Arabidopsis thaliana: one gene and its partners. The protein of the gene in region 3 purifies or fractionates together with the protein of the main gene of each other region. This does not show direct contact. Each region holds a gene or a part of one and is shown on either strand. Other genes may lie near its edges. The genes, in order: AT4G39520, La1, EIF2 GAMMA and EIF4E.

The links.
Region 1: the proteins of EIF2 GAMMA (region 3) and AT4G39520 fractionate together in Arabidopsis thaliana (co-fractionation; one large-scale study listed by BioGRID). This does not show direct contact.
Region 2: the proteins of EIF2 GAMMA (region 3) and La1 fractionate together in Arabidopsis thaliana (co-fractionation; one large-scale study listed by BioGRID). This does not show direct contact.
Region 4: the proteins of EIF2 GAMMA (region 3) and EIF4E fractionate together in Arabidopsis thaliana (co-fractionation; one large-scale study listed by BioGRID). This does not show direct contact.

The regions. Positions count from the first base shown.
Region 1 is NC_003075.7:18,368,824-18,377,555, forward strand, and holds AT4G39520 (GTP-binding protein-like protein), read right to left. Parts: upstream 5,417-8,732; 5' UTR 5,178-5,416; coding exon 5,136-5,177; intron 4,985-5,135; coding exon 4,931-4,984; intron 4,537-4,930; coding exon 4,360-4,536; intron 4,103-4,359; coding exon 4,031-4,102; intron 3,729-4,030; coding exon 3,669-3,728; intron 3,592-3,668; coding exon 3,482-3,591; intron 3,390-3,481; coding exon 3,090-3,389; intron 3,007-3,089; coding exon 2,815-3,006; intron 2,715-2,814; coding exon 2,663-2,714; intron 2,557-2,662; coding exon 2,506-2,556; 3' UTR 2,042-2,505; downstream 1-2,041. Other genes in the region: CYP96A12 (cytochrome P450, family 96, subfamily A, polypeptide 12), read right to left, coding at 122-1,648; AT4G39530 (Tetratricopeptide repeat (TPR)-like superfamily protein), read right to left, coding at 5,913-8,417. UniProt on the Arabidopsis thaliana protein: Binds GDP and GTP, and has low GTPase activity in vitro.
Region 2 is NC_003075.7:15,784,467-15,792,260, forward strand, and holds La1 (La protein 1), read left to right. Parts: upstream 1-2,727; 5' UTR 2,728-2,846; coding exon 2,847-2,897; intron 2,898-3,000; coding exon 3,001-3,079; intron 3,080-3,178; coding exon 3,179-3,328; intron 3,329-3,605; coding exon 3,606-3,748; intron 3,749-3,838; coding exon 3,839-3,987; intron 3,988-4,100; coding exon 4,101-4,223; intron 4,224-4,312; coding exon 4,313-4,607; intron 4,608-4,712; coding exon 4,713-4,860; intron 4,861-4,955; coding exon 4,956-5,028; coding exon of another isoform or gene 5,029-5,032; intron 5,033-5,126; coding exon 5,127-5,217; 3' UTR 5,218-5,530; downstream 5,531-7,794. Other genes in the region: SCRL25 (SCR-like 25), read left to right, coding at 208-274, 507-703; SCRL24 (SCR-like 24), read left to right, coding at 1,871-1,937, 2,173-2,375; PC-MYB1 (Homeodomain-like protein), read left to right, coding at 6,573-6,643, 6,780-6,834, 7,059-7,116, 7,283-7,377, 7,478-7,581, 7,678-7,794. UniProt on the Arabidopsis thaliana protein: Binds to the 3' poly(U) terminus of nascent RNA polymerase III transcripts, protecting them from exonuclease digestion and facilitating their folding and maturation.
Region 3 is NC_003070.9:1,093,377-1,101,677, forward strand, and holds EIF2 GAMMA (eukaryotic translation initiation factor 2 gamma subunit), read left to right. Parts: upstream 1-3,505; 5' UTR 3,506-3,744; exon of another isoform or gene 3,745-3,910; intron 3,911-4,022; 5' UTR 4,023-4,046; coding exon 4,047-4,155; intron 4,156-4,242; coding exon 4,243-4,304; intron 4,305-4,423; coding exon 4,424-4,536; intron 4,537-4,622; coding exon 4,623-4,725; intron 4,726-5,002; coding exon 5,003-5,230; intron 5,231-5,341; coding exon 5,342-5,560; intron 5,561-5,660; coding exon 5,661-5,921; intron 5,922-6,023; coding exon 6,024-6,326; 3' UTR 6,327-6,525; downstream 6,526-8,301. Other genes in the region: XIB (myosin XI B), read left to right, coding at 1-74, 165-209, 316-366, 449-619, 936-1,088, 1,175-1,366, 1,525-1,653, 1,731-1,801 and 5 more.
Region 4 is NC_003075.7:10,014,301-10,021,358, reverse strand, and holds EIF4E (eukaryotic translation initiation factor 4E), read left to right. Parts: upstream 1-3,126; 5' UTR 3,127-3,207; coding exon 3,208-3,506; intron 3,507-3,949; coding exon 3,950-4,115; intron 4,116-4,210; coding exon 4,211-4,336; intron 4,337-4,429; coding exon 4,430-4,495; intron 4,496-4,584; coding exon 4,585-4,635; 3' UTR 4,636-4,829; downstream 4,830-7,058. Other genes in the region: AT4G18030 (S-adenosyl-L-methionine-dependent methyltransferases superfamily protein), read left to right, coding at 6,092-6,739, 6,820-7,030. UniProt on the Arabidopsis thaliana protein: Component of the protein complex eIF4F, which is involved in the recognition of the mRNA cap, ATP-dependent unwinding of 5'-terminal secondary structure and recruitment of mRNA to the ribosome.

The DNA of each region.
Region 1 (8,732 bases), on a different chromosome or scaffold from region 3:
AGAGATTAACACTTACTTTCGAGAATCAAACAAACCTTGTAATCCTTTGTTATAGCATCTATCTCCGATAGATTTTATTTCAACGGAAAAAGGATTAATTTAAGCATTATACATACAAATTTCAAGCTGAACATCTCTTAGTAATTGTGACTCTAAGCCCATGCTTCATGTGCAACATAAGACCAGGTTCTGGCTCAATCTTCTGTCCTTTGATAACATCAATATCATAGTTTTGTAATATCTCCACAACTACGGTCTTCATTAGAGTCATAGCTAATTGCTTACCAGGACAAGTTCTCGGACCGGCGTTAAATGATAAAAACTTGAAGGAAGGTGCATGTCTCAACCCACCGGACTCAGAAACCCATCTCTCTGGCTTGAACTCTGTTGCATCTTCTCCCCAAACCGCTCTCATCCTTCCCAACGCGAAAAGAAAAATTATGATGACTGAGTTTGCTTCTACCTTATGCCCACTTGGCAGCACATCTGGCTTTATAGGAGACTTGCGTTGGAAGGCAACCGGTGGATAGAGCCTCATTGATTCATACAACGCCGCATGTAAGTAGACCAACTTGTCTAAGTTCTCTTGGCCATTTCTTCCGTCTTTTGAAATATTTTTGTCGATGATCTCTTTACGAATCTTTGTTACAACTTGAGGGTTTTCAGAGAGAAGCCAAAAAAACCAAGAGAGAGCAGAAGACGTTGTGTCTCTCCCAGCAAGATTGAAAGCTAAGATGGTGTCTCTGAGGAACTTATCATCACTCGGGTTCAAGAGCTCGTACTTGGTTGTATCAAGCTTTATGTGAGATGTCAAAAGATCCTCACTTTCACCATTTGCATGATGATCAATCCCCTGTGACCTTATCTCTTCTCTCTTAGCTAATATGTATTTCGCAGAAACGCGATCAAAAGTGGCATCAGCTTCAGTCATCCTCTTCTCTTGCCCTAACCCAAACCGGTTTTGCAGCTTCCAGAAGAACTTCGGTTTAATGTGCCTATAAAAAATCCCTTCTCCAAGATCGTCAAGAGCTTTAGCATACTCCACTTCCGGCATTTCAATAGAGAGAGATTTAGGATCAAACCCGGTAACAATAAAGAAAGTTGTATCAAAAGTGAATCTTTGAAACACTTGCTGCAAATCCACGACCTTCTCTTCCTCACAACATTGATTGAAAAGAGGAACAAGACCATCGTAAAGCTTACTCCTCGTTGCACTCAATGATAGCTTTTGAAAGCCTTGATGATTAAGCATGAATTGAGCAGCTTTTCTTTGATTCTTCCATAGCTCCGAGTCCGAACTAAAGATCATTTCTCCAAAAACATCAAAGACTTCTTTAAAGTCGGCACCTTTGGTATAGTTGGAGAAGTTTGAGCTCAATATGTAGTGAATATTAGCTGGATCAACTGTGAACAACATATCCATTTCAGCGAACCACGGTCCCTTAAATAGAAAGGTTAAGTGGCTCATTTCAAGAGCCTCCACGCCGAAGTTGTAGATGCGGTGGAGAACCATCAGGAAGCCTGGAAGCATCCCAATAACTGGCCAGTTTCGAAAAACCTGACCATGAGGTTTCTTGAAGTACATGTAATAGAAGAAGAAAAGGCAAATGATGGCTATGGCAACGTCAAGTAAGCTTACAGAAGCCATATGAGAGAGTTAGGAGCTTGGTTTACAGACACAATATGGTGGTGGTTCCTTTTGTGTGTTGAAGGAACTTGTTTATATAGAGTAAGATTATTACATATATAAATTAGCAACCAACAAAAAGAAAATTTATTAAAAAAGAAAGAAATTACCAATGCATTCATTCAACTGCTTTTCATATCTTAAGAATTAAGATTAGTGAAAGTGTTAAGCTGGTGAAGCTACTAACCACACAAATGGATGAGACAGAATTGGTGGAGGACTTGTAAAGAAGGGTCCATAATCTTACAATTTCAGACACTAAATGACAAACCAACTTTAAGAGGATAGACAAATCGAGAAGTGCATCAGAATTCACGGTCCCAGACACTGCAACGAAGGTCGTTGTAATAGTTTTCCAAATCTATTAATGTCATTAAATTTAATCAACAGTCCAAGTAACAACTAACTGTCAGAAATAATAACACCTCGACCTGGTCAGTGCAATGAAGGCCGTTTTAACAGTTTTTCTTTATTACATGAAGAAAAACTGAATCATATGTTTAGTAAATAAAATCCAAAAAAGTCTAGTTGCATACATAAAAACAAGGGAGGAGAAAATCTAGGCAAACCCATACTGGAGATAATAGGAGGTGTTCCGACAACATCAATCACATGCTTAATAGTATTATTGGAAGAAGACAAAAGTATCTAATAAGACATAAAAAAGGGTGTAGACACAGATTTCGTCTGGATATAATAATACAATTACAAAAGAAAGATAAAGCTGAGAAACCAAAAGAAATCCTGACCTTCCTATAGGAGATCTCATTATGGCTACTTTGGTTGGTCTCTTGACTGCTCTCCATTATCTGCAAAAATCATATCTTTTTAACGATCTGAACAACATCCTCGTCCTCAAGCTCGTGTTCCTGAAGTATAAAATACGATGTCGAGACAGCAATAGTTAGTTAGTCAGGGATATTGCAATATCGATTTACCAGATTAACTTTTGTTTGATTTGCTAGAAGAACTAACCTTTCCAACTCTTTGTGGCTTGTGTTTGGCACTTGAACCCCAAACCAGAGCGCTGTATCAGGAGATCATTAGTTAAGTATTCATGAGCGATGCTTTTGAGCAAGAACCATATAACAGAGAAAAGAAAAATGTTAAGGATTTTAATTACTTACTACTTGAATTGTTTAAGCATGTCTTTGTGAATCCGGATGCAGAAGTCCTCTACTGTTCTCTTCTTGGATGATAAGATTACGGGATCATCATAATCCGGATTCATTGCCTTTGGTTTTGTGTAGATTCGAGTTAGATCCAAGTATTCCCATATCTTGTCCAGAAGTCCATCAAGATTCCACTCCAGATGCGCACTGCAAGATAAATAAATTTATATCTTAATGGCAAAAGTAAACAAGTTTATCGCAAATCCTGCCGGTAATTTAACAACATTTACCTGACAGGACAGTAATGAGGAAGTTTGTCCAAAATTTCAAGTTCCTCAAGTGTGATTGAATCGATCTTGTTGACAGCATAGATACAGGGCATATAAATCCGACTGCCCTCGATGACATCAATGAGGTCATCAGCGGTTGCATCGTAGCGCAGGGTGATGTCAGCATTGTGCATCCTGTACTCACCGCAAATCGCCTTGACGGTGTCAAGGTCAAGGTGTGTGACAGCGACTGTAGAAGTTAGATTGATACCACCTTTGTCTTTTTTCCTAAATGTTAAATTTGGTGGCTCCTTGTTCAACCTACATAGCAACAGTCCATGATCGAGTCAGACTATCTACCAGAAACGATCAAATATACAGTGTATAAAGGTTGTTATATAAACAATCTATACCTTATTCCGAATCCTTCGAGCTCTTTTTCAATGAGACGCTTGTGAGTAATTGGTTTTATGGCATCAAGAACTATTAAGATGCAGTTGCATGTCCTAGCCGTACTTATAACCTGGAAATAGTAAAGTGTGAAAGATGATCAAAGAGGGTCAAAATATAAAATACTCAAGAGATTTAGACTCGACTTACCTGTCTTCCTCTACCTTTTCCATCTTTAGCACCCTCAATAATACCAGGAAGATCTAATAACTGCAAACACATAGAAGGGGACATAAAAAAGAGTATTAGCATCAGTGTCCAATGAATAATTACAGGTCGTTTCCTGACTTAAACTAAGTACCAAGAAGTCATTAAAAGATCAAGCAAGATACATGTTTAATATAGAAGTAAGACTCGAGAAAAGATAATTACAAGCTAGGACATGGCATATGTAGCCAAGGATTTCATTGTGTTTCAACAATTACCAAGACAGAGGAAACACTATCCAAGAATTATCATTTTTCCCCCACAAATAACAGATTAACACAGACGCATAGATGTAGATACCATACCTGGATTTTAGCTCCACGATATGTGATAACACCAGGAATGCATGTCAAAGTCGTGAACTCATAAGAAGCAACCTGAGAAAACATTGTGTATCACAGTATGTACCTTCAGAAAATTGAGTATCAGCCAAAATACAGTTCTAATTCCAAGATTTATGTTCATCTATCCAGGAAAAGACTAGCGCCGAACAGTCTTGCCTTATAAGTGATATTGCACAGGAAGTTGGTCAAAAAGTAACTAGAAATAGGATGCCATGGATACGTGGTAGGTTTCAAAATTCCAATTACAACAAGAGAAAGGAAGTTCAATATTCGTAACGATAACTACAAACCTCGGAAAATGTCCCAGTCAGCTTGTTTAATAGCGTAGATTTTCCAACCGAAGGAAATCCGACCAGTCCAACTCTAGAATCTCCACTTTTAGTCACATCAAAACCTTCTCCAGCACCACCACCGCCACCTTTGGTAGGCGGTGCAAGAAGGTCCCTCCGAAGCTTAGCAAGCTTGGCCTGCAAAATGGACCAGTGAAATATGACGAGAAGCTAATGGTGCAGGAATAAGTACCAAATTCTAAAATCAATACAGAATAATATATAATGCCTGCCTAGTAGTTGTTTGATCCAAGGAACTTCACAAGAGATCATGCCGTAAATAAAATATCTCAGCTTTGTGCTTATTCAATGATTTGGGAGTTCGTATAAAACATAAACGATTTCAACCAGAAGTTAAAATATTTCTTAATGAGCTTGCTTACTGGTTGGGATTTCATGATAGCTTTTATCAAGTATCAAAACAGATATAAACCAATCAACCAAATTTGCATTTGATAAGCAAAAACACCTCAACCAATCAACCTCACTCTCAAAGCTACAAAAAACGACCTAAAGAGGAGAAAAAATGTACCTTTAACAAACCCAGATGATGAGAAGTAGCTTTATTCTTCTGTGTTTTAGCCATCTGCCACATAAACAAAAAAAACCTCGTACTTGTGAGTCACCCAGATTGAAAAATCATTTCTTTGATTCAGAATAGATATTTCGGATTCACAGTTCTATGCATCCAAAATTGAAGAGAAGAGGTGAAGAATCAGAGAGGATTGAATAATTACCTCATCTTCAATTTCTTTGATCTTCTGCATAATAGTCGACATGGTTGCAGTCAAAGCACAGAGAGCTCACGGAGACAACGTCAAGGAAAAGAGGTTATACGCGAGTGAAAGGAAGAAGGACACCGGAATCTCTGATGCAGAGAAATTGACGACGACGGACGAGACAGAAGCAGAGGAATCCCGAGGGTTTTCGTTTCGTCCACCTGATTACGACAAAGGAGAAAAAACTAGAACAGAACTGTCTAGAATTCGGCCTGACCCAACAACATTTTAGGCCCATATATGTCCGATTTGGTTTTCCGGTTTAATAAAATTTACAACAGAATGAGAATTTAGTTTGGTTATATACAATAAACCCTGTTCTGAATTTTTGTTTTGTTTTGTTTTGAATTGGTGTTTTTCGGTTTTAGTTGATTTCAAAAACGGTTTAACTAAATTCAAATGAATCATGTACAACATACCATTCATGCATTCACCATTACAACTTCTCTCTCAACCCGGTTTTAGGAGATGATGAGAAGAAACTGAGAACTGAACCGGGGTTAATTTTTGAGTCTTCCTTCGGATTTGAACGGAACAGAATCGATTTTCCCTTGATTACAAAACTTAATAGCAACATCTTTGCTCTCCTGAGCTAGCTACCCCTTCAGCTTCTCGATATTAACCATGGCTTATTCTTTCTTCTTTGGCTCGCTTTTAAGCTTCATCTGCTGCATTGGTCTTTAACCAAATAGAGTCCATCACTCCAATAGAAAATGAGTTCTTGTATGGTAGTTATTAACTAACTCCTCTGATCTGCACAAGTAAGTCGTCTAACACTTCATAAATTTGATTAGCCTTGCAGTGAGATTTATCCTTAGACAAAAATATATGAACCTCCTTATTAATCCCAATCCAACTACGTCCAGGTTCTTTCACCACACCTTCAACCTTCATTCTTTCTCTCACCTTCTTAGCTTCAGTCCACATACCCTTGGACGCGTAAATATTAGAAAGCATAGTAAACGATCCACTGTCCTTGGGATCAGACAAAATAGCCATTTCAGCAGCATGTTCAGCTAACTCGACGTTACCGGCCTTTGCGCATCCACTCAGCAAGCTCCTCCATACTATAGCAGCTGGTTTTGTCGGCATTTTCTCAATTAACTCCCTTGCTTTGTTCAATCTACCAGCACGGCCTAAAAGAGATACCATACAAACATAGTGCTCAGTTTCAGGTTCAATTCCAAATCGAAGCATTAACTCAAATTGCTTAAGTCCATCTTCTACAAGACCAGCATGGCTACACGCTGATAGAACTCCAACAAAGGTGATGTAGTTAGGCTCTATTCCCTCACTCATCATTTTTTCAAGCATCTGAAGAGCCTTTTTGCCTTCTCCATGATTCGCATAAGATGAGATGACAGAATTCCAACAAACTACATCTCTTGAAGCTGCTGAATCAAAAGCCTTATGAGCGTCTTCGGGACTACCACATTTGGCGTACATATCTAGTAGAGCATTTGTAATATACGGATTACATTCCAAGCCTCTTTTCAGAAGCTGGCAATGGAACTCTTGACCCAATTGAACACTTGCTAGGTTGCCAGCTGCTGTAACCATGTTGGCAAACGTGAATTCGTCAGGTCTTTCTCTTGATAACTGTAATTCCAGAAACAGGTTGAGAGCTTCTTCGTTCTCTGATTGTTGAACATAACCTGCAAACATAGAATTCCAGATAACAAGATCTTTCACTTTCATTTCATCAAACACAAGCCTGGAATCCTTGAGGCAGTAGCAATTTGAGTAAACATCAATCAAAGCGCTTCCAGCAAATATATCTAAGTTTAACCCATATTTGAACATCAATCCATGGATTTGTTTACTCAGTCCCAAGCTTGTTAAAGAAGCAGATGCACGTAGAAGGCTAACAAAAGTCAATAGGCTAGGTCGAATCAATCTGAACCTCATGTCACGAAAGATGTTCAATGCTTCATGTAGTTCCCATTGTGTCCCAAGTCTCGAGTAACCTTCAATCATTGCATTGAATAAAACCACATCAGCAGCAGCGAAAATATCAAAAACTTTTCTGGCATCGGTCAAACAGTCACATTTCGCATACATGTCAATCAAGCTGTTAGTCACATAGCTATCATTGCCAAGATTGGCTTTGATAGTGTAAGCATGAACTTGTGTTCCAAATCCCAAAGCATGAAGTGAGGCACAAGATGTGAGTATGCTAGAGCAAGCATACATATCCGGCTTTAAACCAAACTTTGACATACTGGTAAACAATTCCATGGCTTCTTTATGAAGAGCGTTCTGCTTATAACCAGAGAGCAAAGTGGTCCACGAAATGATGTTTTTATTCGGCATTCCATTGAATAGCTTATGAGCCGCTATAACTCTGCCACACTTCACATAAGAATCTATAAGCACATTCATCAGTGAGGCATCCATCTCAAGTCCATATCTTAAGATGTGCGCATGAATCTGCTTCCCACCTTCAAGAAACGGAAGTATTGAACATGCACTTAGAACCGTCGAAAGGATGTAGCCATCTGGAACAACATTGTCTTCCATTAGTTGGTAGAACAGCTGTAATGAAACGTAGCTTCTTCCCATTTTTACACACCCACTGATCATGGTCGTCCAAGTCACAGTAGATTTCTCTGGTAAAGCATCAAACACAAGCCTCGCATAATCGATATTACCATCCTTCAAATAAAAATCAATCAACAAGGTACCAACATAAACATCCCTATCAAACCCACTCTTGACAAGAAAACTTTGTAGTTGAAACACCATCCAACGCCCACGACCATCTAAGCCTGAGCAAGCTTGAATAAAACTCGACAAAATATATTCATTCGGACTGTCTTTTCTAGTTCTCCAGAACTCTAAGAAAACCACCAAAGATTCCTCATAAATCCCATGATGGTTGCAAGCTGAAACCATGGTAGACCAAGAAACTAAGTTTCTCTCAGGCATTTTCTCGAACACCTTACGTGCATAAACCATACCACCAGCTCTCGAATACAAATTGATCAAAATGTTGCTAAGATACGTATCTAACTCGAGGCCCCAAACAATAATCTGACCATGAACTACATTTTGATAATGCAACAGATCATCTGACGCACGCAGCTGCAAGAGACGAGCAAATTCGCGCCTTCCTCGGATTCCTATCGTAGAAGGAAAATCTGCGTTTACAAATTCCAAAAGACTTGAAGCAGAAGAAGATGAAGAGGAGTATAAACGTATGGTTTCTTGGACTTTACGCCAACAGCGATAGCTTCTCATCCTCCTGAGTGAGAAGAACAGAGCGTGCTGTGACGAATAAACATGCTGCCGTTTTTTGTCATAAGCGAAGAAAGGGTGATGGAACTAATAAATAAAACGGCAACCAGTTATACTACCAAACATCAAAACGACAGGTGGCTGATGATATTGGATGATTTAAGTTTTTTGGTTAGGTTTGGTCGAAAAACAAGAACGGTAGATTTTGATGGCCCGGCATGTTACATTGCGTGGGCCATCCTTTAGCAACATATGTTGAATTTTAATTCCACGTTTCACCTACCAATATTCCTATTTGGACGACATTAAATATTCCTA
Region 2 (7,794 bases), on a different chromosome or scaffold from region 3:
TTACTTGGCTCTTTGAACTCGATCGTTGAATTTCACAAAGCATGATTTTCTATATATAGCTCAATCTATTTTTGCTCTGAGTTAAGAATATTTATAACGAGTGTTGATGATGAAAATGAATACTTGTAATGAGAATAAAGATTAAAACACAATAAATTTCTTCAAGTAACACGAACAAAAGATTATTATCAACTATTTTAATTAATCATGAAATTTGCTACTTGCTTTTTAGTTTCTTACGTTCTTGTCTTTCTCGTTCTTAGCGTCTGTAAAGGTAATATATACCAGATATTTTCTTTCGATTCTGTTTCGTTACTTGCGTAATATAGAACTATGACCCTTACAAATTATTGGCAAACAAAATTACAGTGTTGACATTAGAAAAAACTAACAAAAATGTTGTTCTAGAACAATGTTTTTTGTTTTGTTTTTTTTTTTTTGCATTATCAATAATTGTTTTATCTAAAGAGCTTCAACCAAAAACAAACTAACAGTTCTTGTTGTAGAAGTGGAAGCCAAAGAACTGTGTAATAGAATAGAAGACATCGATGGAAATTGTGACTTTGAAGGAGAGAAGGGGTGCTTGAAATTCATGACGAATAAATATAAGAAAGAAAGACATGTTAGCTGCACATGTACTAACCTTTACATGTTACACAAGACCAAACGTTTTTGCGACTGTAAACATCGCTGCTCAGGATAAACTCCCCTAACCAACATTGCTTTTACCTATTTTTTAGTTTTTACTAATAGAATTGTTATGAGTGTTTGTAGTGTTGTCATTTTCATGACCCATAAATAAGTTATGTTATTCTAATGTATCTCTCTTTTTCCACACAAATTTTTAATAAAGTTATGAGTTACTTCTTTCTAAGTAGTTAGTATGAGTTTTCCAATCAATCTATTTTCCACGTTCAGTTTTCCAAATTGTATTGATCCTGTTATAGTGTAATTACGCATTTTGTAATTGGCCATGGTACTACAATACTAATACTATCATGTTATCTGCAGACTTCAATCTTTTATTTTTAAAAATTAATTATTAGCATTTGTAATATTGATGTAATTTTAATACAAACTGTTTATTAATTTGTTTGAAAACTTATGTGGACAAATAAAATTAGTATACAGAACAAAAAAATATGTTTCAATACCAAAAAAAGTTCACTCCCTAAGCTTTTCTGTCTCTTAAGGATAACATCCTGGATGAGGTCTCTCGATGATTCCCCCCACATACAACATAACCATATAAAAAAAAAATCATCAGCCAAGTGAAGCCTCGGGAACAGTAGTGTGAACCTTTGGATCCTTGGCCTATCGTCAAATGATCGACGACGGTCGAGTTGATTGATCCTACACAGTACACAACCTGAATGTTTTCCCATAGCATCTCTGCTTCATCTATTCCTTGCTAGTAGGATTGATCCCAGAAAACCATAAATTTGTTTTATAAAGATTGAACGTTTGTCTATAGATTAATTTTCAATGGATTAAACATTGTAAATTAATGGTCTTATGGATTTTGTGAGTTTAGATTATCAAGGTTAGAACTGTGTATTTTGAAAAGAATAGGTGATGCGTCATCACAATACACGCAAAAAAAAAAAGTGAAAAATATATAATACTAGTAAGTAGATTTACAAAGAAGAATTTTTCCAAAAAAGAAAGAGTTGATCCGTCGAACTCGTTAATTAAGAAGGCTCGTTGAATTTTACAAAGCAAATTCTAAAAAAAGATGCATCTATTTTTACGATATCTCGAATATATTTATTATGAGTGTTGTTGATAAGAAAGATAAAAAATTCGAGAGGCAAACAATAGTTTTCTGCAACTATAGAGATAATTAATAATTCTTATCAGCTTTTCAATCATGAGATCTGTTATTTGGTTTATAGTTTCTTATACTCTCATGTTACTCGTTCTGAGAGGTGGTAAAGGTAATATGTTGAGTTTTTTTTGTATGGACGTAACTCGTATATAATAAGATATAAAACAAGGATGTTCTTTCTAATTGCAAAAACGGTGTTGTGATTAAAGGAAATAAAAAGCATTGTTACAACGTTAACATATGGTTTAATAGTGAACTTATTTGGATTGTCATTTGTTTATTAATCGAACTAAAATTAACGTTTTTTTTTTTTTTTTTGGTTTGTGTGGTTGAGAAAACAATAGAAGTGGAAGCTGAGAAACTGTGTACAACGATAGGAGACTTGGACGGTAAATGTAGCCAAGACGGAGAAAAGTTGTGCATGAGATACATGACTGATCAATCTAAAAAAAAGTTTCTTAGCTGCACATGTAATAACGTTGTTATGTTACACAAGTACAAACATTATTGCGAATGTCAATCTCATTGTACTCCAAAACAAACGTAAGCTGTAACTCTATAATCAATATATCTCTTTACAACTAAATAAGAATTGTTGATAGAGTTTGTAGTGTTTTCACGACTCAAAAATACAAATGTTGTGCTGATTGAAGTATGAATTTTTGGTTCAAGTCTTGATCTTGATCATTGAAAAAAATCGTGAAAATATTGATCAATTGCCAACGAAAAGACGTAATGGGGTGAATCAGATAGTGTAGGATTATTTGGGGTAATTTTGTTACATTCTAAAGTATAGTGGGTGGGGTTAAATTGATAGTATTAAAAAAGTCAAGGGTTAATACGAAATACAAATATAATCAATAGCGAAAAACCAAAAAATAAATAAATAAATGACAATTTGACTCGAAAACTTTAAGAGAAAATGGAAACTGTGTCTCAATAAACCCTAGTACCCTTTTTCTCTCTTATTCTTCTATCTTCCTCCTCCTCTATCTTTCGCTCGAGCCATTGAGCAATTATGTCGATTCCTTGTCTAACCGAAGAGACAGCCAAAACTGTTCTTCGCCAGGTACAAACTTGTCTTCTTCTTCTTCTTCTGCGGTTCCTCTCTAGTAGCTTCACCAGTTTTTTTTCTTTCGATTATGTTCTGATATTTGATATCGATTTTATAGGTGGAGTTCTATTTCAGTGATAGTAATCTACCCATTGATGATTTCCTCAAGAAGACTGTTACAGAGAGCGAAGATGGCTGTAAAGTTTTAAACTTTTAAACAAATTCAGTCGCTATCGCTGTGTATTTTGATTTTTTTTTGTTATGGCTAATTGATGATTTTTTGGTTTGTCAAATAGTGGTGAGTTTGGCGTTGATTTGCTCCTTTAGTAAGATGAGAGGATATTTGAAGTTGGGTGATTCTAAAGGAGATGATATTCCTGAAGATACCATCAAAGCTGTTGCTGATACTCTTCGAACCTCTTCTGCTCTCAAGATTTCTGACGATGGTGAGTTTCATGATATAATCAAGTTTCTGTTGGGTTTGGATATAGTTAACAATTGCTTTAATTGATTCAAACGAAGTAGTGATATCTTAGAAGAAAGATAATAGTTTGAGAGTTTCAATTATAGGTGAATGGCCTGTGTAGTGCATAGTTTAAACTTAGTTTCATTAAGAAAAGTCTTTGCATGTGGATTTTACAAGTTTGATAATATGTGGTGTCAGATTGGAGAAATATGTTTTGTACAGTTTAGTGATCAATTTTGTTGGATTTTCTTAAACAGGGAAAAAGGTTGGTAGGAGTACTGAATTGTTGAAGCTGGAAGATTTGATTGAGCAACTTAATGCTAGAACAGTAGCTGCGTCACCTTTCTCCTATGATGTTAAAAGGGAAGACGTGGAATCCTTTTTCAGTCAGTATGGAAAGGTAATCCACTATCGATTGAATCATAAGCCATTGTTCAAAATTTAGATTGGTTATACAAGTTTTTGGTATATGTATGTGTCGTCCTTGCAGGTTAATAGTGTGAGGATGCCTCGTCATGTTGCAGAGTCGAGGATATTTTCTGGTGTTGCCTTGGTTGAGTTCCCTACAGAAGAGGATGCCCAGAATGTTATGAAGCAGAATTTGGTCTTTGCTGGTCAGGAGTTGGAGCTGAAACCAAAGTAATCATACTTAGACATGAAAACATGTCCTGTTTGCTGACTGTTTCTCATTTTACAAGTCTTTCCATTGAATGTTTGGATGGGTTACTTAAAAGGTGATATATTCTTTTCAGGAAAGAGTTTGATAATGAAAGGGAGAAGGATGAAGTAAAATTTGCTAATTACCAACCTCAGAAGGGATCTGCAAATCAGAAGAATGGTTCTGATCACAAAAACAATTCTGCTTATGAGCCAGAGTAGGGGTTTGACTGTTGCTATCTAATTACTTGTCTTTTCATGCTAATAATCCTCTTGATCTGATTATGGCTATTTTATCGTATTGTAGTTATCCCAAGGGTTTGATCATTTCATTCACCCTCAAGCGTTCAGCTGAAGAGGGTACCACGGAACAAAAAAGTTCTGAGGAGCCAACTGATAAGACAATGGAAGAAAGTGAAACAAAGCCAGCAGATACTCCTGATGCTGATAAAGAAAACACTGGTGAGGTTCAGGCCGAGGGAGCAGAGGATGAAGATGATGAGAAAGAAGAAAAGGGTGCTCTAGCCACCCATAAAGATAATAAGGATGTTGTCTTACGTGAAGATCTTAAGGCTGTTTTCGGAAAATTTGGTGATGTCAAGGTACTACTTGAGTTTTACTTAGCTGTCTGTCAACATGAATCAGATTCAATATCTCATATAACTGACATCATTTTCACTGATTCCTTTATTCTTTTTGTTGTGAAGTTTGTTGATTTCAAGATGGGATCTGAGACGGGTTATCTTAGGTTTGATGAACCTGAAGCATCCCAGAAAGCCCGTGCAGCAGCAGTATTAGCCAATGAAGGTGGACTAGCCGTGAAGAATTTTATTGCTGTCCTAGAACCTGTTATTGGTAAAAACACCTTTTCAACTTCAATCTTATCTTATAACTAAACCTTGTGTTCTGCTTTAGTTAAATGGTCACTTGTTTATATTGCTCTCTGTCAGGCGAAGCTGAAAAGGAGTATTGGACTCTCCTACGAAGCAAAGATCGGTTTGACAAGGGTGGCCGTGGAGGAAGGTGAGTTCATGTTTTTGTTCTGGTTTCTTTGTTATGATTTTGTTTCAAATGAAGTTTTTGTTTGGTTCTTCAGATAATAATATACTTGGTCTATGCAGGGGAGGAAGAAGAGGAGGGAGATTCGGGAGAAAGAGGGGATCAGATTCACCGGGTGGTCGCTGGAACAAATCTCAGAAGGTGGAAGCATGAGAGATTTCGCTCGTGACTGCTTCTGTTTTTCAATATATTTCTAGTTGCAACTTTAAATTTAATGTATCGACTGGTGACTCGTGATGTTATAACTAGAAATAGCTGCTTATTTGGCAAATTTTGGTTTAGTCATATTTGGTATTGTTTTGTTTAGCTTTATGTGCCTTCTTATGCACACATCTCTTTCCTTAATTATTTTAAATCGATGTTTAGGAAGCATTCTAAAAGACAAACTATTAATATTAACTGCTAAAAGTATATTCCTGTAAATTCTACAACTGTATCAATTGACTCACTGATGATGACACTATTTTACTTGAAGTAGTTAAAATTAATTTTGAAAATCAAATAGTTTTGGTATTCTTCTTGGTCTTCTCGTTTGACTTTGTCTACATTGTTATTAGGTTTTTATGCTGATTTTAGAATTAGCTGTTACTGGCAATTTCATCTTCTTCCTTTTTAATGAGAAAAAAACTCTTCTTTCATACAAAGAATGCTTTGCCGTTGTTTAGAAGAAGAAGCAACAGAGAATCTCGAAAGAAAAATGAATGAAGAAACGTATAAATAAATAAATTGAACTTTTATGATATGAGAGACTAAAAAGCGAGATTCAGAGATTGAAATCAACGGCTGAGATCACTTTCCTTTTTGTTTTGATCTCTCTCTCTCTCTCTCTCTCTCACTTCGAATTCCGTCCGCCTCTCCATGTTTGAGTTTTGAATACCTCTCTCTCTCTCTCTCATTCTCTCTCTCTCTCTCTCTCTCTCTCTCTCTCTCTCTCTCTCTCTCTCGACTTCGATTTCGATTTGTGTTCTTCTTCTTCTTCATCTGGATTCTCAGCGTCTTAATTACTTCAGATTAATTTTGGAATTCGTTGATCTGCAAGGTGTGAGCTTTACTCGTATGACCTCGTCTCCTTCTCTTATTATGGTCACATTTTTGTTAGTTTTCACGGAGACTTCTTCCTGATTTTTCAAAAATCTACTCTTTGAACTTCTCTTACTTTTTTTCGTATAAAGTTTCGATTTTCTTCAGATGATGTTCGAAGCTTTTTTCTCGAGGTTTTTGTTTTGGGTTCTGAAACTAATTCGGGCTTCTTATCTTAGGTTTTTTTGGATCCAATCTCAATATCTAAAGCTACCTTCTTCATTCTGTGAACTTCTTCCTTGTTTTGACTTTAGTTTGCTCTTTTGCTGTGAAGCTAATGCTGATTCTTAGTCTGAGTCCGACTGTGTTTTTAATTTTATGGTTTATCTTTGTTTCAAATTACAGCAATGTGCTTCGCTTATGATGATTTCTAAGACATATCAAAGAAACGGACTTTGGGGTTTTTCATATTGCTTTCCTTGCTAACTATGAAGCGTGAGATGAAAGCACCTACTACTCCACTAGAGAGTCTCCAAGGTGACCTCAAAGGAAAACAAGGGTACGCTTACATCTCTCTTCCTTTTCTTCTATTGGGTTTCAATGTTGAAGTTGGATTGCTTTTGGCACCAAATTTTGCATTCAACTAGACATTCTCAGGTTAATAATGATGCAAGCTCTTTGTGACATTTTCATAGGAGGACATCTGGCCCTGCTAGACGATCTACCAAAGGACAATGGACACCTGAAGAGGTGCGTTCCGTTCCTGTGTCTTTTTTGTTGTCTATCTGATTCTTCCATGCTTCATATTATGTATCCTGGAACACTGCCTGAGCTTAATCAGTTGTCTCTGTAACACCCTATTGTTGCTTCGCACAGTTCCATTTAACTAGTTGACATTAGCTATCCTTTGCATCTATTGAAGAATTCGTCTCTATGAAGTTTTCTGTTGTATCAATTCTGTTTTTCTGGATCAGGACGAAGTCTTGTGTAAAGCTGTTGAGCGTTTTCAAGGAAAGAACTGGAAGAAGATAGGTAAATCGAATAGCAAATTCTGATTTCTTCTTGTTTTCCCAGTTTGTTTTTCCAGCGTATGTTAAGATCATATCAATAATAATCTACTTTAGCTGCCATGTTTATTTGTAGTCTTTAGTTAGTACGGTGAAAGTAATATGTGGTTTTATTTGATTCACCTTTTCAGCTGAATGTTTTAAGGATCGGACTGATGTTCAGTGTCTTCATAGATGGCAAAAGGTCTTGAACCCAGAGCTTGTGAAAGGACCGTGGTCAAAAGAGGTGATTTTGTGAATTGCTTTATATGCTTTACTCGGTTTGAGTCTAATACACCTTAGCATTTGTAATGTGTTCCATGACATTACTTTTCCATGTTTTGAAGGAGGATAACACAATAATTGACCTGGTTGAAAAATATGGGCCAAAGAAATGGTCTACTATATCTCAGCATTTACCTGGGCGCATAGGAAAGCAATGTAGGGAAAGGTAATGCAAAGGCTCTCAACTTCTTTCCGATAAAATGATATTTACATACATTGGGTGGTACTTCAACGCACATAAACAATATTGTGGGTGATGTAGGTGGCATAACCATCTTAACCCTGGGATTAATAAAAATGCATGGACTCAGGAAGAGGAACTGACTCTTATTCGTGCGCATCAAATTTATGGGAATAAATGGGCAGAGCTTATGAAATT
Region 3 (8,301 bases):
TTATGCTTCAGCAAACAATCTTAAACACTCCTGTGAAATCTGTAGCAGGGCATCCTCCAACTGCAACTATTAAGGTAGAATTGTTTCTAAGATACTGAAACATATGGTCTTTTGTGTTACCTTCTACTTGTGCTTGATGTTAAACTTTTTGGTCCTGTTTGCAGAATCTGGAAAATGGCCACCGTACAAACTTGGAAAACCAGTTCAATGTAGGGTAGCTCTTCCAAAACTACTATCTTGATCTCTTGGATTTCTCATATCCTTTTCTTTTGCATTTTCTGTTGGTTTGTTCATCTGAGAAGTATACTTTTTCAGGAAGTTGAGGTCAATGGAAATGCTGGGAAATCTGCTGCAGAACGTCAACTTGTACTGGCCAATCACTTTATACTATATATGCAAACAGTTTTAACAAGTAACTCTGTTAATCTGATTTTCTCTGCCGGTGCAGGAGAATGTTGATACTCTCATCGACTGTGTTAAGGAAAACATTGGTTTCAGTAATGGGAAACCTATTGCTGCATTTACAATATACAAGTGTCTTCTTCACTGGAAGTGCTTTGAATCAGAGAAGACTAGTGCGTTTGATCGTCTTATTGAGATGATTGGTTCCGCGATTGAGGTAAATTGGGGTGCATTTTGTGCCATTATGAAGATACTGATATGTCCCAAAATGAGGATTCTTATGTATGTCTTGTAAAATGGCTGTTAATTCCTAGGGCATGGAAAGACTTATTTGCATAACTTATTATGTCACCTGCTTGAGATAGGATTCAACTAGCCGTTGCTTTCTAATTTGACACTATATGTTGTATGTTCTCTTATATCCTTTTATCATACACTAATCATCTAGTGGAGAGGAGTATAAGCCTTTTTTTTGTTTGTCTTATCATTTGGAAGTAACAATTGCTGCTCTACTGAAATTTTTTTCTTTTCAGAATGAAGATGACAATGGTCATTTGGCGTATTGGTTGACAAACACATCGGCACTACTGTTTTTACTTCAAAAAAGTCTTAAACCTGCTGGCGCCGGAGCAACGGCAAGCAAGAAGCCACCCATAACAACTTCCTTGTTTGGAAGAATGGCCTTGGTATTTTAACTTTCTGTGTTAGTAGGGCTTTTTGACGGATCTTTTACTTTGAATCTTAACTATCCTTTCCCTTATTGTTTAACCAGAGCTTCCGCTCATCACCAAACCTTGCTGCTGCGGCTGAAGCTGCTGCTCTTGCGGTGATCCGCCCAGTGGAGGCAAAATACCCGGCTCTGCTTTTCAAGCAACAGCTTGCAGCATATGTGGAGAAAATATTTGGGATGATTAGGGATAACTTGAAGAAAGAGCTCTCAGCTTTAATATCTATGTGCATTCAGGTTTCATTGACTTCTCTCTTTGCAGCTATATATTTTTGTCCTGACTTTACGTTGTTGTATCCTAATGCTGTGACCACTCGCTTGTTGCGTTGCACCTTGATAATAAATGTGTTTTACTATTGTAACAAGTCCTGTTCTGTCAAAACTTTGAACTTCAGGCACCGAGAATTTCAAAAGGAGGGATACAAAGATCTGCTAGATCTCTTGGAAAAGATTCTCCTGCTATTCACTGGCAGAGCATTATTGATGGTCTCAATTCGCTGCTTGCCATATTGAAAGATAATTATGTAAGGAAATAGTAAAAGTTCCATGACATTATTCTGTTTTCAAATCCTCAAATTCTCATATGTTTCATGGTGTACAGGTTCCTTTGGTACTCATCCAGAAGATACACACTCAAACTTTCTCGTTCGTCAATGTGCAACTATTTAACAGGTAAATAATACTTGAGAATTACATCTAATGGTTTCTACACACCTTATCATCGATACTCGTCAAAGTACAAACCTTCCTATGGTTGATATTTCTCAAATTCCTATGGAAGATATAAGCCAAGATCACTAGTGTTTTCTTACTTGGTTTTTTCCTTAACATCTTACAATAGCCTTCTACTGCGTAAAGAGTGTTGTACATTCAGCAATGGAGAATTTGTAAAGTCTGGGCTTGCAGAGCTAGAATTGTGGTGCGGCCAAGTCAATGAAGTAAGTTCCTACCTCACGTTTTCCTTCCGGAAAAAGTTTCTTTCGGCTCATTATATCATTCTTTGATTTTGCAGTATGCTGGGCCATCTTGGGATGAACTGAAACACATCAGACAAGCTGTTGGGTTCCTGGTATGTTTTACTCTTGTTTAATACTAACTTGTGGAACTCTTGTTTCTTGAATCTTCAAAAACGAATACTTCTCCTCTCGTAACTTATCAGGTTATCCACCAGAAGTACAGAGTATCATACGATGATATAGTACATGATCTTTGCCCGGTAAAGCTCCTTCTTAGTTTCTAGAAACACGTTTTTGCCTAGACTCCATACTTAATGGCTTTCTTGTTTCACTTTATTACAGATCCTTAGTGTCCAACAACTTTACCGGATATGCACATTATACTGGGACGACTGCTATAACACCCGAAGTGTGTCTCAAGAGGTAATATCGAGCATGCGTGCGCTCATGACAGAAGAATCCAACGATGCCGACAGCAATTCCTTCTTGTTGGATGATAATTCCAGGTAACTCGAATCATTTCTTAAAGATTAATATCAGTAGTAGAAACTAAAACCGGTTTATTGTTCGCAGCATTCCCTTCTCAATAGACGAGATTTCGAATTCGATGCACGAAAAAGACTTTGCGAGTGTCAAACCGGCCAAAGAGCTACTGGAAAACCCAGAATTCGTATTCTTGCACTAGTGAGAAGCTCGGATTCTAAAAAAGCTCTTCCTCTGTTTCTTTTTAGTCTGAGTGGGGGAGGGGTGCCTTCTTGAACCAAAAGGAAAGAAGATTACAAAAGTGTAAATTTTTACTTCTTGTGGGGTTGTTTCTTTCTTGCAAAACCTCTGTGATTTCTCTCTCACCAATTCATTCATTTATTTATTTGACCCCATTTCAAAGTTTTTTCTCCATTTTAGACCCAAGATTATTATCTGGTTTTTTTTTTTCACGGCTCAAGTTCTACACGATGAAGATCCTTTGTTGTTGTTGTACAGAATTAATCTACTTAATTTGTTATAAACTTGCCCCAACTCTTTTCAGTGATTTTTTTTTAAAAAATTTGGGACTCAATCAAACTCCATTACACCTGGTGATATTGGTTTAAAACCAACGTTTCTGACTTCAACAGCCGAGATTCAAAGACTTCAAAACCTTCCAAAAAAAAACAAATTCATAACTGGTTCGGAAAGATAAATTGACAAACCCGAGAGAGATAGAGGAACACGAACGCTTATAGTCGATCGCAAATAGGCCTTTCACTTGAGGTGTCTGTCTCAAGTTCGAATTCTAAAAGTTTTATGGTTTTTTTTGTTTAACTGTGTTTTATGTTGGGCCAAATTGTTTTTTGCTTTTAGGCATTAAATTTAGTCGGGCCGGCCCTGCACATAAAATTAATATGATGAAATGTTTTGGGTTTGATACTTTGATTCATAGAAAAAGTAAATTAGTCTCTACTGATAGTAATTTAATTAAATACTAGTATTTCATTATTTTGTAAGAAATTTTAGAAAGGGAAAAAAAAAAAAGGTTACGCGAAGGAAACCAAAAACCCTTTAGGGACTTGGATAGAAAAAAAAAAACCATTTTGTGCATCTTCTTCAAGCTGCGCCGCTTTCTCACTCTTTTTTATCTCTCAAATTTGACCTTCTCCGTTGTTCTTTCGCATCGCTCAGGTTCGTTTCGATCTCGAATTACATCTCCTACGGATTCAATATTTGTTCAACCTAATTGTTCCCATTTCTATCGCACGAAGATTAGTTCGGGGAATCTAATCGTAATCATAATGTTTTTTTAGATTGCGAATCGAAATTATTGTGATATTTAGGTAACGGAGCTCAGGTATAGAATCTGTGTGTCGACTTGATTAGGGCAGATGTAGAAAAACCTGAGAAGTAGTCTTTTTCAGATTAACTAGGGTTAGGGTTCTGATTTGATGCTCGGTTTTAAGCAGGAGCAGAAGCTTCAATCTTTGATAATGTCGAGGAACAAGGGTTTGGCTGAGCAAGATCTTAAAAAATTGGATGTAACTGTGCTACATCCTCTGTCTCCTGAGGTCATTTCTCGCCAGGCCACTATTAATATAGGTAACGCTTTTTTGAGTCTTTTATATAAGTTGATGTTGAAGAAACTGGCAGTTCCTATAAGCTAAAGATGATAGTGTTATGTTTCAGGAACCATTGGTCATGTCGCTCATGGAAAGTCCACTGTTGTTAAAGCTATTTCTGGTGTCCAGGTAAAATTTGATTATGCGGTTTTCACAATTGTAATCCTAGAGGCTTTTCTAGCTTGCAGCGTTTGATCAATTGGAGTGGGTGAAGTGATTTCTATGGTTTCCTTATCTTCTCTGTACAGACTGTCCGTTTTAAAAATGAATTGGAGCGTAACATTACCATTAAGCTTGGATATGCAAACGCCAAGATTTACAAATGTGAGGATGAGAAATGCCCTAGACCAATGTGCTACAAGTGAGTCCTTCTTACAACAGTGTTTTTATCTTCTACTTCTACTATAAGGTTTGAGTCAAGGTCTAACAACTTATCTGTTGTATTAGGGCCTACGGAAGTGGAAAGGAAGACACTCCCAATTGTGATGTCCCCGGATTTGAAAACTCCAAGATGAAACTATTGAGGCATGTCTCATTCGTTGATTGCCCGGTATGATGAGTTTTACCGTTATCTTTATTCTTCATTAATTACCATTTTCATTTGATAGTATAAGTGTATAACCATTTCATGTGTCAATGAGCTGTTCGTTTATTGTGTATTATCGATGTTGTTGTGCTCCACCTGCATGATTTTGGGTCTCTCATTTAATTGGGTGAAGGGCTTAAAGAGTGAGGGTTGATGGAGAAGTATTCATTGATGTTTCCATCTTTTGCTTTTCTTATCTCTACTTCATTCTTGTTGAATGTATTCTTGTTCTATTCTTCAGGGTCACGATATTCTCATGGCAACAATGCTTAATGGAGCAGCCATCATGGATGGTGCACTACTTTTAATCGCTGCAAATGAAACTTGTCCACAACCACAAACGTCTGAACATCTTGCTGCCGTTGAGATTATGCAACTTAAGCATATCATCATCCTTCAGAACAAGATTGATCTTATTCAAGAGAATGTTGCCATTAATCAGCACGAGGCAATTCAGAAATTTATAATGGTTAGGTTTTCTTATCTCTTAAGGATCTGTTGTAGCATTCTCATTTCGTCACTTGGTTAAGCTAAGTATTGAAGAACTTGGTTCTAAAATTTCTTTCACATCCTGTTGCAGAACACTGTTGCTGATGCTGCTCCGATCGTCCCTGTCTCAGCACAACTGAAATACAACATTGATGTGGTGTGCGAGTACATTGTCAAGAAGATCCCAATCCCTGAGAGGAATTTTGTGTCACCCCCAAATATGATAGTGATTCGGTCTTTTGATGTCAACAAACCTGGTTATGAGGTTGATGAGATCAAAGGTGGAGTTGCAGGTGGAAGTATCCTACGGGTATCTATTCTCTCTCTCTCCCTTTCTCTTGTTGTGCCTCTTAAGTACATCAAGCTTTATATGGTGTAATCAGTATCTCTTAACTACATGTATATTGTAGGGTGTTTTGAGAGTCAACCAATTAATCGAAATCCGACCTGGTATCGTTACCAAAGACGAGCGTGGCAACTCAAAATGCACTCCAATTTACTCTCGCATCATTTCACTCTACGCGGAACAGAACGAGCTTCAGTTTGCTGTTCCTGGAGGTCTAATAGGAGTTGGAACAACAATGGACCCAACTCTCACTCGTGCAGATCGATTAGTTGGTCAAGTCCTTGGTGAAATCGGTTCACTTCCTGATGTATTTGTTGAACTCGAGGTATAAACAACTCCTCACAACCATACTCTTCAGTCTTTATGGTCCTAATGGGTCTCTTAGTGTATTTTCTCCTTTTAATTTGTGGTTATGTAAAATCTGTAGGTGAACTTCTTTCTTCTACGACGTTTGTTGGGAGTGAGAACAAAGGGATCAGAGAAACAAGGGAAAGTGTCAAAGCTAACGAAAGGAGAGATTCTGATGCTCAACATTGGTTCGATGTCCACTGGAGCCAAAGTTGTAGGAGTTAAAGTCGATCTGGCTAAACTGCAACTGACTGCGCCTGTTTGTACCAGCAAAGGAGAGAAAGTGGCTCTAAGCAGACGTGTGGAAAAGCATTGGCGTTTGATTGGTTGGGGTCAGATTCAAGCTGGAACCACCATCGAAGTTCCTCCTTCACCTTTCTAAGCTATGTGTTATTTTTGTCCTTTTTGTTTGTGTTTCTGAAAAAAAGATTGTTAAACCCCTCAAAAAGATAATAAAACTCTTTTTCTCGTTGGGGGATTTTGGAGAGTTCGTCTTTGCGGATTAAACATCTTCAAACAGTACCTGATTTGTTATTGTTACTAGTTTGCTCTTTGTTATTGTTACTAGTTTGCTCTTTGTTTGTGTTTTTCTCTTAGATATTACTAAATTTTGTTGTCTCTCTTTTTTTTTTTGAAATTTTTGTCAGAGATACTCTGCTACTTGACTATACATACTTTCTTCAGAAAAGGAACAACTTCATTACTCATTAGGATCCGATCAAGTACGACTTTTTATAATAAATACGACTTTTTAGTCAAAATGTTCATGTCTTCTCTCTAAAGAACGTTATTTGTTTGCGATTTGAATTGAGTGTCTTGCCTTCCACTGTGTATATCCGTGCGAAAACTTATGTTACATAGACGGGACTGCAGAGGCAGCAAGTCTCCATTCGGCTCATCTGGAACTGTCTCAACAACACTTGCATTTGTGGTTCGCCTTCCCATTGAAATGAGAAGAATCGCTGACTGTGTTCCAAAGTGATGGGTTAACATGCCAACCTTTCATGCAGGGAAACAAGTTTAGTTACCTAGACTCCCGCAACAAATACTTGCACAAATTGAAACTCTGGAAGAAGATAAACCCGAATGGTACTTTCATCACGCACTTGCTCCACAATACCTTCTATTGGCTTGCCCTTCCACAGAGCCAAATTCTCTTCCACCAATAGCTTCCACTTTGTAATGGAGGCGCTCCTTCTTGAAGCGGGGAAAAAGCGTCCGCTCCAGGTTTTAAATTCCTTATGTGACCGTTAATCCTTAGGGGAACAAAAAAAGGAAATAAAGCCATCCAATTGAAAAAAGTGTTAAACTCATTTTAAAAAACATAATAATAATTTTCCCGAAAATTTAAAACTTAAACTTTAAAAAAATAAGTAATAATTTAACTAAAACTATGTTAATTAGAATTTGCCGTGTGAATCACGATGATACGAAGTAAATAAAAGTCTGACTATTATTAAATTTGATTTACTAACGTGTATTTGGTTAATCCAGTAGTTATACCGTGAAGCTTATGTAGCTTTATTTCTAGTCACGAATTAAAACATTAATCTATAGAATTAATTATGACCATTAATTATTTTTATGTGGAAAATAATTAGTCAAAGAAGAAGGTGTGATACTTTTTGCATGTTAGAAATTAATGAACTTGTAACTACTTTGACTGAACATTCTTAATTTTGACCGGACGGTTAGTCGGTTACAACACTAACCATACTTAACGGCTTATTATTGTTGTTATACTATATATCTAATGGCCATATATATATATAACGCTAAAGCTGTTCTCGTTTTTTAAGAGAAAAACAAAACTCGGGAGTTTCATGTGGCCTCATGTGTTTTCTGCTTCTCTTAGTATAAACTTAAGTCACTGATTTATTTCTTGGTGAAGTAGTTAATTAACTAACAGTTGACAAATCAACTAACTTATAGATAATACTCTTATCTTAAAACAATGAATTAATTAATTAACTAAATCATTTAATTCGAAATCAAATATTTTGCCACATTCCCAACGATTGTGATTCACTGGCCAATTAAAAATGTATCTAAAAATGCAATTATTTGCTCAGAATAGACCGTTTGATCATTAGCGATCAATCTCTAACTCAAATACTACGTATTAGCTTGATTATCAACGTGTGTACGTATCGATTTGTAGATACATGCATTATAAAATACTACTTTCACATATGTTTTGACTTTCTAGTTGAGGAATTCGAGCAGTGGTTAAGGCAAAATTCATGATAAATAATTAATCATGTCACATGCATTACCCTAAACTTACTGCATCATTAATTAAATCCCACTAGAACTCTATTTTACAAGAATATAATGTTCTTAGAAACCAGTTTAGA
Region 4 (7,058 bases), on a different chromosome or scaffold from region 3:
TCCACCAAAGATATGTGACTAATTAAATGTTTTGTTCAGATAGCAAACTAAATAATAATATAACTGTTACACTCTTTATTTGCTTAATTTTGTATTCACTTATTATGTTCTAGTTTTGTTTTGTTTTTGGTGTAAATGTTCTACTTTTGTTATTAAGATGGGAAGCTAAAAGCCTAAAAAGTACACGTATAATATAATATTGATTGGTCTTTTTTTTTGTCGGCATATTAATTGATTGGTTTAGAGTTAACAAGAATCATATTAAAAATAATTTAGTCATATGGATTAAGGATAATCCTTAGTGGAGAATCAAACATCTTTATATCCGCAAATTTGTGTGAAAACTTGCTTTTGGAAAAGATGGTATATATGTGTATAGTTGATAACTTATAAGTGTTCTCTAAGTATTACTCCATTTTTCATAATAAATGTTGTTATATACTTTAACAAAAAATATTTTTCAATGTATATTTTAAAAATTAAGTTCCAAACTTTTCTGTTTAATTTTTGCTTTCTTAGTTAATGAAATAAAATGAAATTGCATATCATAAATGTTAATTATAAGATGAATTTATAGTTTTTAATGTGTGAAAATTGTATAAAATGTGCATAATGAAAGGAAATGAGTAATATAAATCATGTGGTGTACGATATATATCAAAGAGAAATAATTCTTATAATCAAACAACACTTACTTAGGTATATATCTCCCAAGCACGGGCCATACGGATAGTTCACCGCTCATTGATAGATTCAAGCTATAATTTTAGTTGTTGTTGTGGCATAAAATTTTCTGGCATCGAGTTGTTGTTATGAGATAACTTCAAACAAATATAAACACCAGATAAGAGACAAGTTTGCTTCCTTGGGCATCATCATTCACCAATGATTACGTAATCAGTGACAATTATATTCGAGTGAACTTAATCAGTGACAATTTGATGTGAAATGATTACATGTATAGCGCATAAATGTTCATGACAGTGTCAAGGAAAAGAAAACCCAAAGAATATAGTGATTAATTTATATATTTTTGATAAAAGTGATTAATAAAAAAAGATGAAGCAAAGTATGCATTAACCTTGTTTTCCATTTCCTTTAAATTTCTTTTTACAATTTAAATTATATATACTCTATGTAAGTCTTACATATCTTTTCATAAAAAGAATGTACATCAATTATGGATTCAAATTTTCTCTGTTCTTTGGACATGTTTTGTAAGTTTACTTTCTTTTCAAAAGTAAATATTAATGTTAATTTTTTAAAAGTTGAAAAGAAATTAAAAAGAGATTTTGATTCTAATCTTTATAGAATAATGGGAGAAACGATGACGCGTTATGCAATATTACCATACAAGTCAATTCATACGATCCAAACTCATCATTTATCAATTATCACTTGTGTCGTCAATACCAGTCAGGCAGTCACTTCTAAACTTTACAAAAAAAAAAAGAAAAAAAAAAACTGTTGATCAGTTCTTTACTACAAAAGAAAACGTCAACTAGCGACAAACTTTGATCTATCGACCATCATTAAGCGCTCGTTGCTAAACAAAAAAGTCGATAGATTTGAAAAATCTCCCGTATATAAAATATGTTGATAAATATAAAATAAGTTTATTTGATTCATTGCATGAGCCATGATTAACGTCGACAACCTTTTTCTTTCTTACATCTGCTTAAAAAAAAATCACACGCACTGAGAAGTTAGATTAAGAATGGTTGACAATTTATTTATTTTTGGTATAAAGAATGGTTGACAATTTATTTATTTTTGGTATAAAGAATGGTTGACAACTAAAGCAAACTTAAACTTATTCTTTTCGAATTACGTATGTACTATCATTATAAATATATTCTCGAATAACTCATATCAAATATATATTTGAAACGTGTATAACTAACATTCGAGATTCTTGGTTTGACGGCATATAGACAAGCCATGCAATTATGTTTTTGCAGCGAATCAAATAATCTTATTTCTTATAAAATCTAAAGAATATATAGCATAGAAATGTAAACAAAAACCAAACTCTATATTTATAGTCTCTCCTGGTGTCGAGAATAACTTTTTTGAGTATATTCTGCACAATTAGTTACTACTTACTAAGTTACTAGTGAGTAGTGATGCACAATAAACAAATTCTGACAGTTAATGGAATAGAACCAGCTTCACTTAGTTATACGTCTCTATCAACTATGAAGTAATAGAATACATTCGACTGCGAAACATTATGAAATCTTTTTATTTTCTCCTTTCTTTCGTTTGACCGATAAAACCAATGGAATGAATATAAGAAATTTCGTTTTGTTTCTGTACGTGGTATATCCACTGATTTAAACTTTTAAATTTACATGCACGGAACTTAAACACAATTGTATATTGTTTAGATTTAGAATATAATCCAGTTGTCTTGTTGGTCTAACATATTATATATATTAATTAACCCAAACTAGGTACATAAACAATTTAATATCTTAAAAGAAATACTATTATGGGGCGGCAGGCAGATCACAACCTTTAGAAATAGAAAGGTAAGACAAACTCACTTATATAGTCAAAAGCTATTAACACTTCCATAAGATATAAATCTCTCAAACTTTTGACAGTCTACAAAATACTTCACATTTTCTTAATAATCATATTATATGCTTTTGTGAAAGCATATAAAAACCTGATCATGTTCGTTTTACAGTTCTGACAATAACAACATGTTTTCTTAACTTTTTTGTAGCTGCTAGCGATCAACGACCAAACTAACGAAAACAACCAATTCTAAAGTTTGTTGTTTGTTTATGTGGTTAGTAATTCAATAATCGAATTTGGCAACCAGTTTTGGTGACTGATTTCATCAACTAATGACTAAAAATTCAGTCTATAAACATTTTCACGTTTCATATTTTGAATTAACGTTAATCACTAAAATTATTTGATTTTTTTGAAGACTACAAAACAAACATAATTTAGTACATGTACTTCAAACTAACACGACCATTAGAAAAACCTTTAAGAGCAAAAAGAGCCGGAGACAAGTTAAAGCCCATAATAGTTGTTAAGTTATCTCTTCGGCCCAAAAAGAAAAAAGACAAGAAGTATGTAATTAAAACGACGTCGTATCATAGTTAACCCTACGAGAGGAAGTACATTAGTTTGGAGAAGAGTAATAGACAGAGAGATAGAGAGAAAGAGAAGCAGTTCGGAGAAACAATGGCGGTAGAAGACACTCCCAAATCTGTTGTAACGGAAGAAGCTAAGCCTAATTCAATAGAGAATCCGATTGATCGATACCATGAGGAAGGTGATGATGCCGAAGAAGGAGAGATCGCCGGAGGAGAAGGAGACGGAAACGTTGACGAATCGAGCAAATCCGGTGTTCCTGAATCGCATCCTCTGGAACATTCATGGACTTTCTGGTTCGATAATCCTGCTGTGAAATCGAAACAAACCTCTTGGGGAAGTTCCTTGCGACCCGTGTTTACGTTTTCAACTGTTGAGGAATTTTGGAGGTTAGGTTTTTGATTTTATTTTATTTCCGACTCAATATCTGGTTTGTTCAATTATTCTGCATCTGGGTTTTGTTATAGGTTTCGATTTGTTGAGGAAAGTTATGTTCTTTATTGGGGGATTAGAAGATCCCATTGAAGTCATTATATGTTTTTGATGAATTGCTATGTTTGGTGTTTGAATTCGTAGCTAAAGCTTATGTTAGGGTTTAGCTTTGATATTCTGTTCACTTGTTTGTGAAGTAAAGTAGAAGAGCAAAGTTTGTGAGAGAAAGAGACCAACTTTGAAATCTTTCTTAGTGGTTTTCTAGGTATCAGAATTTGAGCAAACACTTTCGTGATGACTGAGGGTTGATGTTGTATAGTTCTTGCTCTTCCCAATGAGATTCATAGGTTTGTGTATTGTTCTTTCGACTTCTTATTTTAAAAGACATTTTGGTTTGCAGTTTGTACAACAACATGAAGCATCCGAGCAAGTTAGCTCACGGAGCTGACTTCTACTGTTTCAAACACATCATTGAACCTAAGTGGGAGGATCCTATTTGTGCTAATGGAGGAAAATGGACTATGACTTTCCCTAAGGAGAAGTCTGATAAGAGCTGGCTCTACACTGTACGGTTTCTATTCTTCTTTTATTTTGACTCGTAACTCCTGCGTCATCATCCAATTGAATCTCACCGGTTTTTCTTTTTACATGCTTGGTTTAGTTGCTTGCATTGATTGGAGAGCAGTTTGATCATGGAGATGAAATATGTGGAGCAGTTGTCAACATTAGAGGAAAGCAAGAAAGGATATCTATTTGGACTAAAAATGCTTCAAACGAAGCTGCTCAGGTAAATAGAAAAGACCTTTCTCATCAAAACTCATCAAACAGTCTCTCTGTGTAAAAATAAGACTTTAATTCTCGTCTGCATCAAATGTTGCAGGTGAGCATTGGAAAACAATGGAAGGAGTTTCTCGATTACAACAACAGCATAGGTTTCATCATCCATGTAAGAAGAAAGCTTCTCATAATTCTAATTCAAAAGTCTTCATTTTCTTCAGATCTCTCATTGTTTGGTTTGGTTTCTTTTTTTTTCAGGAGGATGCGAAGAAGCTCGACAGGAATGCAAAGAACGCTTACACCGCTTGAAACCTCTCAAATCTTTGCATTGTTTCAATTACAGTTTTGTATGTGAGAGATCTCTATTTATCTAAACATGACTTGACAGTCTGTCTTTGCTAGTGTTGATTGTTCACGAAGCTCTAACATTTCATTTAGTAATATATTAGTATGGTTCTTCATAATATTTACGTTGGTGCCCTTGTATAAAACCACCGGAGTGAGCGCAAGCTTTACAGACAAACAGTGCTTCTGTCTACCCAAGGCGGGCCTTAAAAGCCTGAATAGTGTATATGTTTACTTGACAAGAGCCCATGTACACTCATGAGCGATTGACTTTAACCGGTTTTAGAGAAAACTACTTTTACATTGTCACATTTACATCCTTTATAATTAACCTTTTAATTTAGGTTTTAAAGATCCACCTCAGCATTTATTTTAATGGAATGATTATTTAGCAGTGTGAACCGATTAACTCGGTTTTTGACGGTGACCGGTTTAGAGGAAATGGGAGTGTCGGTAGGAGATCTAAGTAGCGAGTATGTAAATTGTCCAACTGTCTGAAAAGGACCACTTGGGACGACAAGATTCTTCGGCTAATAATAATACATCACTCGTTTCAACAAATAAAATTTTCCTTTCTATTATTATGCAATCTTATAGCATATGGATTTGATCTTTTTTAATATATAAACAAAAGGTTTTCCAATTATGCTAAACCATAATCTGAAATTGATTTTAAATAGCTACAATCAACTACCCAAAAGCTTCAAATATGCAAAATAATAAAGTATAGGTTTATATATATAAACGCACACAAAAGAGGTTGAATAAAAATAAACATAAGGATGCATGTGCAGTCCAGATTAGATCTAAATCTATTGAGTATTGTAATAATATTGTTATGAAGATCTTGCTGCGAAACTACACACATTTAATTCCAACATGTTTTGTTTATAGAAATTGAATAAAATCAAACGCGCCTTCATCTTCAAGTTAAAAATCAAATCTTAATTAGTGAAGACAAAGAAGAAGAAGACATTATTTTAAGTGAGTTCTCTCTCTGTCACACTCACAAAGCTTTATACTTTCTGGCTACTGCAAGCTCATCACTGAAAAGAGCTTAAACCAGAGAGATCTGATAAGAGAAATTTTAGAGTCTCTCTGCTTCAACAAGATCTACATCGACCAGGTTCAATATTTTTCTCTACTGTTAGTTCGTGTTCTAGCTCTGTTTCAACGAGATCCGATTCTGTGTTTTCGATTTCAGTGCTAAAGTTACGGTCTTTGAATCTTTCTATGTTAGGATTAGTCTTTTGAATCCATAAACTCTAGATTTCAATTGTTAAAGGCTAGGTTTTGATTAGTTTGAATTAGCTAGATCCTTTTTTAACAGATCTTGATGTTTAAGCTCAAAGTTGTGTCGTTATACTGAGAATCAAGTTTGTGATTTGTTGGGAATGGTTTCAGGAGATTAGAAAGAATCATGGGTTCTAAGCATAACCCACCAGGGAATAACAGATCGAGAAGTACACTATCTCTACTCGTTGTGGTTGGTTTATGTTGTTTCTTCTATCTTCTTGGAGCATGGCAAAAGAGTGGGTTTGGTAAAGGAGATAGCATAGCTATGGAGATTACAAAGCAAGCGCAGTGTACTGACATTGTCACTGATCTTGATTTTGAACCTCATCACAACACAGTGAAGATCCCACATAAAGCTGATCCCAAACCTGTTTCTTTCAAACCGTGTGATGTGAAGCTCAAGGATTACACGCCTTGTCAAGAGCAAGACCGAGCTATGAAGTTCCCGAGAGAGAACATGATTTACAGAGAGAGACATTGTCCTCCTGATAATGAGAAGCTGCGTTGTCTTGTTCCAGCTCCTAAAGGGTATATGACTCCTTTCCCTTGGCCTAAAAGCAGAGATTATGTTCACTATGCTAATGCTCCTTTCAAGAGCTTGACTGTCGAAAAAGCTGGACAGAATTGGGTTCAGTTTCAAGGGAATGTGTTTAAATTCCCTGGTGGAGGAACTATGTTTCCTCAAGGTGCTGATGCGTATATTGAAGAGCTAGCTTCTGTTATCCCTATCAAAGATGGCTCTGTTAGAACCGCATTGGACACTGGATGTGGGGTAAGTCGATTTCTGTTTGATCTAGTAACATATCTTATTCATTTCTTAGATTCTTATTGATGCTAATTTACCATCTCTAGGTTGCTAGTTGGGGTGCTTATATGCTTAAGAGGAATGTTTTGACTATGTCGTTTGCGCCAAGGGATAACCACGAAGCACAAGTCCAGTTTGCGCTTGAGAGAGGTGTTCCAGCGATTATCGCTGTTCTTGGATCAATCCTTCTTCCTTACCCTGCAAGAGCCTTTGACATGGCTCAATGCTCTCGATGCTTGATACCATGGACCGCAAACGGTAAATATTAACTATCAAATTAGGCGAA